Linked DNA regions of Arabidopsis thaliana. The protein of the gene in region 1 interacts with the protein of each later gene in a pairwise test. Each region holds a gene or a part of one and is shown in the gene's direction. Other genes may lie near its edges.

Evidence for each region. The genes of interacting proteins can lie anywhere in the genome.
Region 2: the proteins of AT5G17840 (region 1) and PDH-E1 BETA interact in a two-hybrid assay, tested with the Arabidopsis thaliana proteins (one large-scale study listed by BioGRID).

Annotation. Positions count from the first base shown.
Region 1 is NC_003076.8:5,893,653-5,902,128, reverse strand, and holds AT5G17840 (DnaJ/Hsp40 cysteine-rich domain superfamily protein), read left to right. Parts: upstream 1-4,837; 5' UTR 4,838-5,073; coding exon 5,074-5,211; intron 5,212-5,843; coding exon 5,844-6,105; intron 6,106-6,185; coding exon 6,186-6,250; 3' UTR 6,251-6,476; downstream 6,477-8,476. Other genes in the region: AT5G17850 (Sodium/calcium exchanger family protein), read right to left, coding at 1,197-2,876; AT5G17847 (uncharacterized protein), read right to left, coding at 3,342-3,470; AT5G17830 (Plasma-membrane choline transporter family protein), read right to left, coding at 6,762-6,953, 7,044-8,210.
Region 2 is NC_003070.9:10,585,081-10,591,118, reverse strand, and holds the start of PDH-E1 BETA (pyruvate dehydrogenase E1 beta), read left to right. Parts: upstream 1-4,438; 5' UTR 4,439-4,641; coding exon 4,642-4,750; intron 4,751-4,871; coding exon 4,872-4,978; intron 4,979-5,057; coding exon 5,058-5,089; intron 5,090-5,796; coding exon 5,797-6,038. Other genes in the region: AT1G30130 (DUF1365 family protein), read right to left, coding at 1,897-2,127, 2,212-2,412, 2,502-2,594, 2,728-2,839, 3,155-3,453. UniProt on the Arabidopsis thaliana protein: The pyruvate dehydrogenase complex catalyzes the overall conversion of pyruvate to acetyl-CoA and CO(2).

The DNA of each region.
Region 1 (8,476 bases):
TTATGATCTTCTAGTTAATTTATGACTATAATCAAATAAAATAATAAATTTGATTATTTATAAATAATAAAGAGATTACGCTTTATGATCTGATCTAATTGTTCATTTGATTATTTGGTCGAATGAGACGCTTTATGATCTTCTAGTTAATTAGATTTTGATGTTTTGAATAATAAATAACGTATGATATCATTGATTTTGATGTTTGGTTGTTTTTTGGTTTAGCTTAGCTCAAGTGCTCAACCTTAATATTCCAAATTTGGAAGAAAAAAAAATCTGATTAATTTTTTTAAAAAAGGTTTCAATTAGGTGAAATTAACCGGAATGTATCAACTACGGCCAAATTTATCATATATGTTTAAATCCCTAAACAATTGTGGTAACGGATGCAAAGTGTCCCATTGCATTTTGAATTATTAGAAAATGGCCAAAAATTGGAGTTATCCTATTTCCAAGGAAACAATTTGCAGACAAGAAAAATGTGCCAAATTATTATGCACACGAGTCATGATGAGATTAGGAATAAAAAACACATCTTATCTTGAGTTCATTGCAAATTGGCAAAAAGAGACAAGCGTTGTCGCTTCAAACAACTCCCACAACACTGGGAACTAAATACACAATTGAAAATAAACAAATATATTGGCAGAAGAAAATACAATTAACGTAGAGATTTTTGAAAACAAAAAAAATATTATCTTAGATAATTTATCTAATATGAGATGGTTTTTTTTTACATTATCCTTATACTGCATGGAGTATAATATGTATGTGTTTACTTGAATGTATGAGCAGAGATTGTTGACTAGTCGAGAATCTGACACCTATCAAAAAACCAGCTACTCAATTTGAACTCCATTACTCTAAAAATTATTCTAAGCTATGCATGTTGTGCGATATCATTGAAACTAGTAATCTTCAGATCAATATTGGTGGTTTCGAACCTTATTTTAAACGACTTTTTGATTTTTCTTGTTTCAACTTGAATTAGAATGATTTCAAATCATACATTTACAATAGATTTGTATATTTCCTCCACGAAACCGAAATTGTATCATATTATGAAAAATCTACGTTACAATCTACATAAAGTTATACATATATATATATCTATACATTACAAAATCGATTCCTTTTACTTGAAGAAGATTATACAAACCCATGTTATGTAAAACGACTATGAGTTGAAATCAAAGTTAGTGAGCATCTCCAACGGTTTGCATAATTCTTAGAGACAATGAAGCCAAGTAAATAACCAAAAGCCCTATGCCCATCACACCACCAAGCCTCATACGGTTACTAAACAGAACCAAGAACGACCATACCAGTCCTGCGACCAGAAATCCAAGACTCTCCAACAAACGAGGATCTGTCTTAATCACAATGCTCAACGGATAAGCCTCCCATGCACATCCCACAAGCGATATCCCGAGAGCAAACAATGTATTGAAGATCGGACCGGCGTAACATCCCGATACAGCCACTTGAGCTCCTTCGTTCCCATCGTGTAGCGCCATTGTCAAGTTGGTTATTAGATCTCCAATTGAATTACCCCAAGCGAGGACCGTTAAGCCTAAGATCGAAGGGCTTACACCGAAAATGTATCCTAGTGAGGTCAAAAGCGCAACTAGCTCTTGTGCTGATATGTAACTCCATGTCATGCTCATTACAAACCCTCCTGCTAACCAAGGCAACAACCATTTCTTTGGTGGGGTTAATTTCTTCGTCGTGGCTCCTGCAATGAAACCAAGAGCTATACCGATCAAACACCCGATGAGATAAACAACCCCCGCCTCAAAACTCGTCGGTTTCCGCTTCCAGTTCCATAAAAACGACAACAGAACCGGGGCAAATGTGACCGAGGCAACAGCTAATGGTTTAGACCATTTGTCTTCACTCACTACAGGAATTGTTAATATCCTTGGCAAGTTGAGAGGCAGAGTGATAGCCCAAATGACCAATCTTTTCCAGTAATAATATCTCTGGTGATCATCATCATCATCAACAATCTGATGCTCTCCATTAACAACACCATCTTCAATTTCCTCAAGACCGTCTCTCTGCAAGATTGGTTCACTAAGACTACCACGCTTATGGATTGACTCAAGATCAGATTCAGCACCTTGATCTCCACCAAATCTCCAAGAGAGAACCACAAAGGCAACATAAACAGCATACAATGAACAAAACCCAAGAGCACCCCAGAAATTGATCTTTCCATAGACCAAAATCAAAGCCAAAGAACCAATAGCAGCACAGAAGAAGCAAATGTCTCTTATAAACGCAGCTCTCTCAATCCTCACACGTCTCTTATGCAACGAAATGCTAATGATCCCAACAACAACACAGGTAACAAAACCAGAACCTCCCACAACAGTGTTGAGACCAACATCATAAGTACCTTTAGATTCTCCCATGAAAGAGACCAAACTTGCAAACAAATCAGGAGCACCATTACCAAGCGACAAAAGAGTAACACCAGCAACAGTTGGTGACAAATTAAGCAGCTTTGAGAGACTTTCAAGAGATGAACAAAAGTACTCAGAGGCCGTATGACCCAATAGATAGAACAAGAGAAGCAACCAGAGGAAGAGAAGAAACTGACCCAAAATTGGGAAACCTTCGAAATTACAGTAGAGAAAAGAGAGGTAATCGAAGAAACCTTGACTAGCACATGGATCAATCGATTTCAGGTAAGCACACTTTGATTTGTAGTCATGAAAGTGCTTCAGGGCACTACAATCATGCTCTGATTTAGGTCTTAGAGCACTTGAATCAACAGGATTCGTGAAGAAACCCAACAGAAGACAAGAGATAACGAGAAGGAATGTGACTGTCAAGTAACCAAAACGGTTTGAAGAAAATGAAAATCCCATCAATCAGCTAAGACCTGGAAACTCAACAAAAAACGAAAAGAAACAAATCAGAACAGAGCAAACGAAGAAACAGATAAAGTTTGGTTTTTTATCAGAGAGTCAAATTGAAAAAGAAGATATTTGGGTTTATTGTTGAGAATCTATAAATGGGTTTACTCCATAAGAACAGATCATGAAGAAAACAGATTAGATAAACACGAACTATACGCGGAAAGAGAAAGATAAAGCACTGACCTTTTTTAATATCTGGAAGATGAAAAAGCAAAAAAGGGATCGAATTTCGAAACGAAGCTTTTAAAGGAGACGAAGCGAAGAAAACACCCACAAACACACAAAACAAACACTTTAACAAGACCTGACGAAGACAAACGTCAGAGACAAAAAAAAACAGAGGATTGAGGAATACTATTTTTTTATATAAAGAATCTGAAAAAAGTTTGTCACTTTGTCATTGCCGTTTTGGGGTTAGGGTGATTTGGGTTTTGGAAATGGCTTATGTGTCGGCTTCACGATGAACTGTGCGTCATTTTCTCTTTCCATTACGTATGCGAAGAATAGGAAGACGAAGGAGGGAGGGTTAGCGAAAGGATACATAAATTTAGAAGCTTTTTCCACAAATTAAATATTACTATAAGGAGCTGACCCAGCAATATTTAGTATTTAGTGCTGATTCCTTAAGCCACTAACTATGGAAAAAATAATATAAATATTCCGGTTTGGTTCGTAATCAGTTACCGGTTTAAGGTTAACTTACATATAAGAAACTAATTTAAAGGATGTGGTCAGTACTGAATTGATGTTTGTTTATTCCAACAAGTAAAACTCTAATCTATAACAGTCATTTTAATCTAATTTTATTAGTTGTGAAATAGTTATTGGTAATTGAGTATAAACCACAACCACCGCCTTTATTCTGTTACTTCCAGTTTACACAAGGCAGAATAACTTGAAATGTAATTAAGAGAAAATTAATTCAATAATTTGGCTTTCTATTAGCTCAAAATTACTTCCTTTATATAAGCTGAAACATCTTAATTCGAACGTATTTTAAGAAATAAGTATACATGGATATTGAATTTCCAAATAGATTGAGACAGCCACGATCATAAAGAGAAAGTTCCCAAAAAGAAAAGACAGAAAGAAACAAGTAGAAGAAGCTAATATAAAAGGAAAGTATAGTGTGACAAGATAAAGTTAATAATGAGGAAACTAATAGTATACTCCACACAGTCACACAAAGATAATTGTATAATGAGGTCGACTGAATAAAGAAAAGAAAAAAAAGTGTGGTCGACTTTTACTACTAAAACGAGAAAGTCGGTCGAAGGATTAGGATTTAGGACACGATTTTTGTAAAAATATTTAGGGAATTTTTCAAATAAAATCGAACAAAATATAAAGATAAGAGGACTTATTACGAGTGTGAATTGCAAATATTAAAAAAGTACCGAGTCATTTAGAGCAACGCGGTCTTCAAACGCGTTTTGTTTTTCTTTACTTTTGTTTACATCTTTGCATTTATTTTGTGATGTTATTCATTGCTTGAGAGCTAAGTGAGTAGAAGCGATCCATTAACACAAGAATCAGCACGTACGTGTACGTCCCCTTCGACGGTGATATTTGTTTTTACCTTTTCTAGTTGATATAAAAATCTTCGTTTACTCATGGAGATCAGATACTATCTAACATCAAACCAACAAATCCTTTAATCTATATATTGTTAGCTATCATTTAAACTTATGCCTTAACATATAAAGTTGTAGACTAGTGTCTGATTGTTTTTTTAAAAACACTCTTTTTAATTGGAGCTGAAATATCTTAAAAGTGAACACTTTTAGCCGACGTCCACCTTTAGACAAGAGGCTGACTCCAAAAAGATGTCCCAAAAATAATTGATGATGGGCATTCATTATGATAAAGTTGGCCCATAATCTTTTTTATGGATCCATTTGTCCAATTCAAATTTATTGATTACTGTCACGTCCCATCCTTTTTGATGTTTATGGGCTCGGTTTAGATACCCGGATATCTTACCGGTATAGTCCGGTTATGGGACCTCAACGAAAACTGAGACATATGAACGGCGATCCCTCCAAAGTTATCACCTACCTTCTCCAATCTCTTTTCGATTTCGAATTTTCCATCTTTCGATTCTCAGTAGTTTCGTCTCAATTTCATAATTCCATTGTAGCCGATAATGAATTCCGCTTTAGATTTTGCTTTTCCGGCTACATTTCCGGTTAAATCGAGTTCTGTTGGCGGACATCGGATTGCTTCCCCTGGATTCAGTTCCCGCTTAAGATTGTGCTCTCTTCCTCCTTCTTCATCTATCAAGGTTAAATCTCTTTTTCCACTTTCTCCCTCTGCTTCGATTTATATCATTTTCAGCTGGATTTTTGTTTAGAATCGTATCAGTGTCTTGTTATTCAAATTTCTGCATCTGAAATTAAGTCACTTGTTGGAATTTTAAAGCTAGTTTTCCAATGGAAATCTGAATCATACAAATCCACTTGTCCTGACTTGTTTAATGTTGATGATGATTGTGACTTGTGAGTACTAGCAATAGTGAGTATCAGTATACAACATTTATATGTTGCTTCCAAAACTCCGAATCCTGTGAAGTTGTATTGTTGCTTAAGTTGTGGCAAAATAGAAACTTTTCTGCAAAAGTTGAGTTATTTTCCCCATTCCAGTGTACTTTCATAGACTTGTCTCATGATGATGATGATGATTATGATCTGTTAGCGTTAGTAACTATAATTAGTGACAGATATATGTTTATGCTATGACTTCAAATGTTGAGTATGATTGCACAACTCAGAACTTGTTTTCCATGTTTGGATTTTCCGGGAAACATCTATACATTAGGGTGACTGAGAAAGTGAAAAAAAAAAAAAGTGAAGCTTATTTCTCCTGGTTTGGATGAAACATTATTTGCTAAGTTGAGAATAATCTTTGGATTCTTAGGCTGAGTCATGTTTAAAAAGAGACGTGCACAGGCAAAGAAGCAGTCTTGAGTCAATGTTCTGTTATGATAAACCAATACCAGAGGAAATAATCGAGGAGCCAGTTGGATTATCCATGTCAGAGAGAGAGATTGGTGATAATCAGCGTTGCACTTGTTGTGAAGCTAAAGGTGCATTGCTTTGTTCCACTTGTTCTGGAACTGGTCTATATGTAGATTCCATTATGGAGAGTCAAGGCATCATTGTTAAAGTCCGTTGCTTAGGTAAGCCTCTCTTATCCTACATGCTCTACTTGTTCTATGCAAATTACCTTCATCTTAACCATTTGTTGCTACTGTTTTAGGTTGTGGTGGAAGTGGTAATATTATGTGCAAACTTTGTGGTGGGCGTGGTCACGTAGGACACTGATGACTCCGTGTTTCACTTGTTTGCACTCATGGTTCTGTTTTACCTATTCGCCACTTTTTCTAGCTCTGATCTTATTGTAAAAGCCTACTTTTTTGAGTTCCATACATAGATTTGTGTTCTTGTACTGATGTAATCTCTAGCTAAACTATGCACAATCTTGTCCCAGACTATTCATTTTCTGTTGTTATATAAAATGGTTTCCTAAGTGGCTGTGACTAAACCATGATTCTCTATCTCTTTTACTGCTCTCTTTTAACTATTTTATGCAATCAGATACATAAAACGGATCAAAGAGCAAGAAAATAAAGCAGGGAAAGGAATCAGAACTGAATCATTCTCATCTCACTTTGTATGTACATTTTCTTCTCTAGCTGCATTTTTTGCATATAAAGCTAAATGATCTACAATCTATAGAGTCTATAAGCTTGAAAAAGCCTCAGTGTTGTGAAAAAACGAAAAGAAACGAAAGTATTTTTCTCAACTAAGTGGATACCATCCGTATGTGAGCTCTCTACACGTGTGTTGGAACGTCATCATCTTCCTGCACTCTATTATCCTCGACTTCTCTTTTTGCCTTTTCGATTTTTTGTCGCTCGATACGTTGTGGAATCGTGTCATCAAACCTATCGTTCTGTGGATCTTCAGAATAAGCTACATAGTAACCCATCACACAAGCTTGTAGCCACGCAGAAGAAACTCTCCCCTGAAAACATACCAACAAAAACAGGTACATAAGGTTACACAGTACAACCATTTTTGATTCTCTTCCTGCATTTTGATAAGAAGATCTTACCACAAAGTATCCGATGATGAAAGCATAGATAGTCAGCTCAAAGTAGTGATCCTTATCGATCAGAAGCTCCCATACTCCTGCAGTTAATGCAGCGATTGCACCAATTCCCATGGCGCTAAAGAAACAGATGGAGCTGGTGATGTCAAAATCAATCAACTGCTCAAATTCAGGGATTGTTCTAAACCTCCTCCAGGTATCACTAGACGCTTGCCTTAACCCTTTGTTGTGAGCTCCCACGTGAACAAATCCATATCTATTTCCACCCAAAATGATATGATTGGCAATCCAGTTGCAGCCTGGGGTACTTGCATAAATGTCCCGATTACAACACCGAATCGTTCCCCTAAAGAGTACAATAAGTGGAACAAGTGTTGAACCAATACAAACACTCCCGAGCTGCTTTTTCAGAGTGACGCCAAGAGCATCACATGCATTCATGAGATCATCACGGCTAAAGTATACATATATGGCTTTCGAAATCGCGACTTCTTGTACGTTTTTGATAACCTGCATTGTCCAGGCAAGGTTTATCACGATGATGGAGATGAAAAGAATATCAAGACGTGTTCCTGTAGCAGTAGCTCCACCGATTCCAGCAACCAAGAAATCAGAGTAAAAGACGCTTATGATCACTGATACAACTGCTATTGCTCTGGTTCTTGCGGGTAATATCCCTGTGGCGGTTGACATCGTCTGGAAGGTGAATTCATGCCTGTTCGTGACGTGAAGCGAACCATACACTGCGGTGACGATGCTATAGAAGACAAGAAGTGCACCTATCCATAGAACGACGGGATTGGATTTGTCGAGGAGAATTAGGAAGAGCCCCACGGAGATTGTGAATAACGGTGTGAACCAGAACGTTGCTTTGACTGTGGCTCGTATGTTGCAGACGAAGAAGCAGTTCCAGGCTATAGAGAGGACTCCGGAGACAGCAACAGAGGATAACAGAGGAGTGTACCATTTCTTGGGATGGAAGTTTGGTGATTTGGTGCAGACGAGACCTCGTAGCGTGAGAAGGATCACAAAGATCGAGATTAGGGTTAGTTGCGTGTAGAAGATACAAGTGAAGAGGCATCTGAAGAATCTTCCGGATAGTGTTTGCTGTTGCGGTTGCTGTTGCTGTTGCTGTGCGGCGGGAGGAGTTACTGGTTGTTGTTCGATTTCCTGCAAAAAAGCAAAAAGATAAGATGAAGAATGTGGAGACACGACGCTAATGCCGATCGGGGAAGAAGAAGAAGAAGAAGAAGTAGAGTAAGAACCATTGAGAAAGACGAAGGTGGGTCACGCACGTCACGGTTGAGGAAGACGAAGGTGAGTCACGGTTTTCTTGCGGCGGAAACGGTGACGAAAAGTCAAAGAGTCGAAGAGAGCGAGAGATGAAGGAGAAGAACCGAGAGAGTTAAAGTGAAGACAGAGAAAGAAAGAGACGA
Region 2 (6,038 bases), on another chromosome or scaffold:
ATAACTAAACATTTCTTCCCCTCTTATAAAATAATAAACATTCTTTTTGCCCTGATAAACTAAACATTTTTTCTGTTATATATATTCTTTTTGCGGTAAGAAACGCACACAAAAAAAGGAGAGTCAAAACACGTGTCTTTAGGTTGATTGCTATTAGATTATCAAAAAACATTTATAGGTTGATTGCTAATCAAGTAATCAAAAATTGTTGCTTTGTTGGTTCTCCATGCACCATTCAATTGATTATTATTTGATAAATATCGTTTACTTTTCACACAATAACTTGATTAGGTGCCCATAAGTAGTCGACGAAATCTTGTTTAGATGTGCCGATATATACCGACAATATAGAAAATAAAATCGTCGATATTCAAAAACTAAATAAGTCAAATGATTTGATCAAAATGAATAAAATCTCTTCTTTTGGTACCGAACTTAACATGTGGTTGGTGTTGTACAAAGTAACAAACAATCGACACATAAAGCAGCTATCTACCACATTGATGTAAAGTTTGCAATTGGCACGGTTTGACTCAGAATGAGTCCAACATTATTTCGGTCTGATAACTCTGATTATATCTGTAACTTTCATTTGTTTGGAATAGTGATAATCATTTTGTTGCTCTATAAATAATGATTTTTCAAAAAGTTAAAAAATAACGATTTAAGTTTACTAGAAATAACCAAGAAATGGTCAGAAAAAAATTGTTTTGTATAACAAAATATCGGAAAGAAAACTGTAAATTTGTTGGATTATGCTTTCGTAACCCAATTATTTTTATGGATATAAAAATCATTTATTGAATGAGCCTATGAACATCAAAATGAAAAATTTCAACCCAACCAAAAAACGAAAATGATAAGACTTTTGAAAAAAGAAGGTATAACCAAAACAAAATTAGTCAAAAGGCTGATCCAAGAATCAGTTTTTCACTAAGCTTCAACAAGAATAGATTTCGGGATCCCAAAATCAGTATTTTATTGGTGATTGACCATTTTTTCATATGGAAGTGTTAACTTTGATGAAATCTCGTAAATTGATTAGAACCACAAATTTGAGTCCTGCGTAAATTGATAAGAACCACAAATCCAAATTACATCAAAAACTCGTTTTATAGTAAAGAAATCTTACAGGGTAACAACTACTACAAACTCAATAATATAATAAACAACACACTTTATTTAAATAAAAAATAAATACTCTTTTAAACTATTTTTTTTTGTCAACAGCTTTAAATTAAACTCAAAAGAGCCATTGTAGCTGCCATTTAAATTCTATAATGACTCAAAAGAAAATACATGAAAAATCAATATATACCATCGACTAATCACAACCTAGTTTAGTAACACAAGTTTTTAGACCTAAGGGTAAGAGTATATATCGTATACATATATACAAATTTTTAACTTGCAAGAAATCAAGTCACATGATCACATGAAGACTTATCAACAAACAGAGGTTAGGATTTTCGGAGATGAGAATTATTACAAACGAATCAATCAAAATGCAAAGTTGATTTTTCTATTAATCAACAAGGTTCACTTGTGTTCAAGCCAAATTTTAAACAAGCCAACTAAATTTGAGACGAGATTTTCAAATGATTTATACCAATCATATCATTGGACAATGACCGTAAATTCCGAAACTCTTGATGATCTGCTACCCCCTAAATCAAAAGAGAAAACTGATGATTCCAAGGATGAAAAGAAGCCTGCAAAATCTTTCTCATTGAGCAAAGACCAAAAATGGGTGTAACTTTCATATTTCAGGATTTGATAGAACATAATTTGTTGTCATTTTCAGGTATGAAGAATAGGTTAGTATCAGTTCAGGTTTTTAAACATTTTTAGACAAGTGAAAAGATAGTGTGTTTATTACCTTGAGAGTGTATGTATTCATGACCAAGGCCAGTTCGCATCTCGCCACGCAAAGCGACATCCTCCAAAACTACTACTACAACCATCTCCTTTTAACCCATCAAATTTGTTGGTTTTATCAGAATCAGACCCATCTAACCCGGGGCAACGAAGTTCTTGATCGCGTTTCGCTGCTTCCTCCCTGTATGATGGGTTCGAGTATCTCGGGTGTTGAATGAAAGGTACACTCTTCCACCAGAGTTGAAGTGCCTAAACAACGAAATGACGTTAAGTTGATCAACGTTTTGAGTATTTGTACTTAAAACGATTTTTGAGTAAATATAAGTCACTTACATGCCAATAGATCCATATCGCAACCTTATGAGGCATCAACCAGAAGAAAACAGCGGGATCAGACACCCGCGATAGGGGTATCCTTTTCGCCTTTAATGTCGCAGAGAAATAGTTACCGAAATGAGGATGTTGAGATGCAATGGAGACAGATAAATCATCTCCAGGTTCATTAGCTCTGATTTTCCAATTCCCAAGCATATCCTAAAAGGTTATTTAACCTCTAATCAATCACACAAAACTGATAAAACATCAATCAAAGAAGTTAATAATATCAAAGAACAACAACATACCATGAAAGGACTGACTTGTAATGATTTAGCAACCAAGTCAGATTCAGGGTCAAATACAAATGTCACTCGTTCCCCCCACGGCGTATTTGTAACCTACAAAATTCCTCTAATCAGATCAATAGATAGAGACACTAATACCAATAAAGCCAATGCACCATAAGGTTTCATTACTATGAGAGACATAAGCAAGAAACAGAGGAACAACAAAAACCTCTGATTCATATACCTGAGCAATGCATTTACTTAAGCGCTTACTTGACCCTTCCAAGTCATAGCAATAGTATAAACTCAATGGGTTTTGTTCATATCCAACGCTTGGTGGTATTGTCAATAGAAATCTGCACCACGAAAAAATTACAGATTCATCAAAACTACTTCCTCTATCACAATTACAATTTCTGAACTGATAAAGATTCATTCACCTAACAATTTCATTACAAAAACAACCAAACTACACTGTTAGAGAGCAAAACATAACCATAAAACCAAACAGAAACTAAAAAAAACACTCAATTTTGCAAATCTAACTAACTCCTGATCAACAGAATCTTTCAAATCTTGTTTGTTCCTCAAAAACATTACGCATTATAAAGTTTCAGTTCTAGGTATCAAAATCCAGATTCTTCCGATCTTGGACGAGTCAACAAACTTACATTGGCCCGGTGGTACGAGAAACACGGCGAGCTTCGTCGGCGGAGAAATGATCCGGCGGTGTGTTAATAGCTTTGTCGAGGTCAAAGAGTGCGTAACGAACGGAATAACGGAAAGAGTGGCGGACAGGACGGAGACGGTCGTGCCAGACTGTGCCTTCGTAGAAAGAGACATTAGGATCGACGGCGGCGCGTGAAGGAAGGAGACGGTGGAGAAGGAAGCGAAACGGGAGGAGAAGAGAGAAGAAGATGGAAGTGATTGAAGTGTAGATGATTGAACAGAGGAGAAAGAGCAATTCCATATCTCTACCTCTGTCTCTCTATCTCTATCTGATCTTTTTCAAAAATCAGAGATTGACATTGATGACCCTTCAAATGCAGAGGTTTGGTATATTTATGATTTAATGCCACGTTTAACGATAAGTATTAATTTAACGAGTAATTTACTTTTATTATTTTTGAATCTAATAATGCCGTTTTAAAATGCTATAAGTTAGTATTAATTTAGAATTTGTCTCATAGAGGCCATTGTTATCTTCAGTGACAGTATATTATTGTGTTGTGTGGACCCAAAAGCCAAAAAGGATTGTTTTATTTAATGTTGCAACCAGTTATTATCATAGGGTATTTATCGTATAATCGTGGCTGTTGCGTGGACGTTACTAAACCACTGTATATAATATGTATTTGCATATGGATAAATAATTAAATCATCTCTCAAATTTATAAAAATTTGCATTATGAGAATTCACAGAACTAAAACTCGTAGAATGAAAACTGCATACTAGAAAATCAGATAATAATTTTTTTAAAAAAAAATCAGATAATAAAATAAATAACTGCATACATTTGATTGGTAAATTTTTTATAATCGCATTAAAATAATATTTTACCATATATGTGTTACAAATCAGAGTATAAAATATACAAAACAATATATTGGTAGAGACTAGAGAGACTCAATGTAAATGCTTTAGTTACGTTTATATTTCGCTTATGAAAATTTGTTCTTTGTGGAGAAAAAAAAAAGTTCTTTTTTGACGAAAATTTGCTTACTGGATAATACTGATCTATTAATTACTGGGCCAAGACACTTGAGGCCCATCAACTCCTAGATCGGTGGAAACCTCAAATCTCACAGTTAACGTAATTAGGTTGGTCCAGGTGGTTAAGCAAACCCAGTGATAATCCACAAATCATATACGTACACGTGCCAATCCAGTCGTTAAGTAACACGTGTTAAATTAACATTGGTTGTTATACAATAGAGAAGCCACATGAGTTCGATGAAAACAATGTAAACATGTGGATTTGATTGCACAACAACAATACACATAATTTAATTCGATTTCGACAATTTCATTTAATTCTTCGATTTCTCCGCTTGTCACTGTTTCGTATCGCCATTTTCTGTTTGCATACACTTGTATATATTTATATTAACAGTCCAAAATTCTTCGAAATTGTCCCGAGCTTTGAGCATATAAAAAATGTCTTCGATAATCCATGGAGCTGGAGCTGCTACGACGACGTTATCGACGTTTAATTCCGTCGATTCCAAGAAACTCTTCGTTGCTCCTTCTCGCACAAATCTTTCAGGTTCGAATTTTATTTGATGATCGATCTGCATTCTCTGATTTCGATTTCTGGTGTTTTGGAGCTTCTATTGAGATGGATTTGTGAGATCTTAAAGCAGTTTCGTTGTTTGATTTTGATGCAGTGAGGAGCCAGAGATATATAGTGGCTGGATCTGATGCGAGTAAGAAGAGCTTTGGTTCTGGACTTAGAGTTCGTCACTCTCAGAAATTGATTCCAAATGCTGTTGCGGTAATGTCTTTGTCTCCGATTTTGTGATTTTTATGGTTTCTCCTTCTAATCTCTAATGATGTACGTTTTTGTTTTGTAGACGAAGGAGGCGGATACGTCTGCGAGCACTGGGTTTGTTTTGCACCTTTTTAGCTTTGCAAATTCGATTTTGATTTTACTCTTTTGTGCTCATTGAAGGATTTAGACACTGCTTGAACAAATCTCTAATTGGATCTTTCATGTTCTGTTCTAAATGATTAGATTGTTTCAGTAGTTTTATTACATTTTAGTGGGGATTCAAAGTTGGATAACGATGAGGAAGTTTTTAACTATGTGCTATTGGGTGTGGTGATGTAGGATCCTAGCCAGTTCTAGAGTAGTCAAAACACTAATCTATAGTTGATAGTGATGGCAAAAGCTTAATGTGTTGCATGTCTGCTTCCAGTAATCATTCTAGTGATGCCTTTGGTTGTGCTTATGATGCCAAATGTTTAGGTTAAACCGTTAAACCATTTAGTTCATTCCCATGAACATAGTTTAACTCTCAAGAACATTTCTGGACATCATACGGCAATTGGTTAGGCTTCTGTTACATATTATGCGACTTTCCATTTAGTGAATGTTTCTGTTAGGGGTTTGTGTGTTGTCTTCATTTTCACATAAGCAATCCATGATGATGTCACCATGGCATTTTCTTTCATGTATTAGTCGTCACAAATAGCACATTTTCTTTATCTACCTTTAAACTTCCATGCTCATATTCAATATAAGTGTCATGATGATGCCTTTTTTTTGTCAAAAATACAAAGTGTGACCAATCTTCTCGTATGAATTTACAGACATGAACTATTGCTTTTCGAGGCTCTTCAGGAAGGTCTGGAAGAAGAGATGGACAGAGATCCACATGTATGTGTTATGGGTGAAGATGTTGGCCATTACGGAGGTTCCTACAAGGTAACCAAAGGCCTTGCTGATAAATTTGGTGACCTCAGGGTTCTCGACACTCCTATTTGTGAAAATGCATTCACCGGTATGGGCATTGGAGCTGCCATGACTGGTCTAAGACCCGTTATTGAAGGTA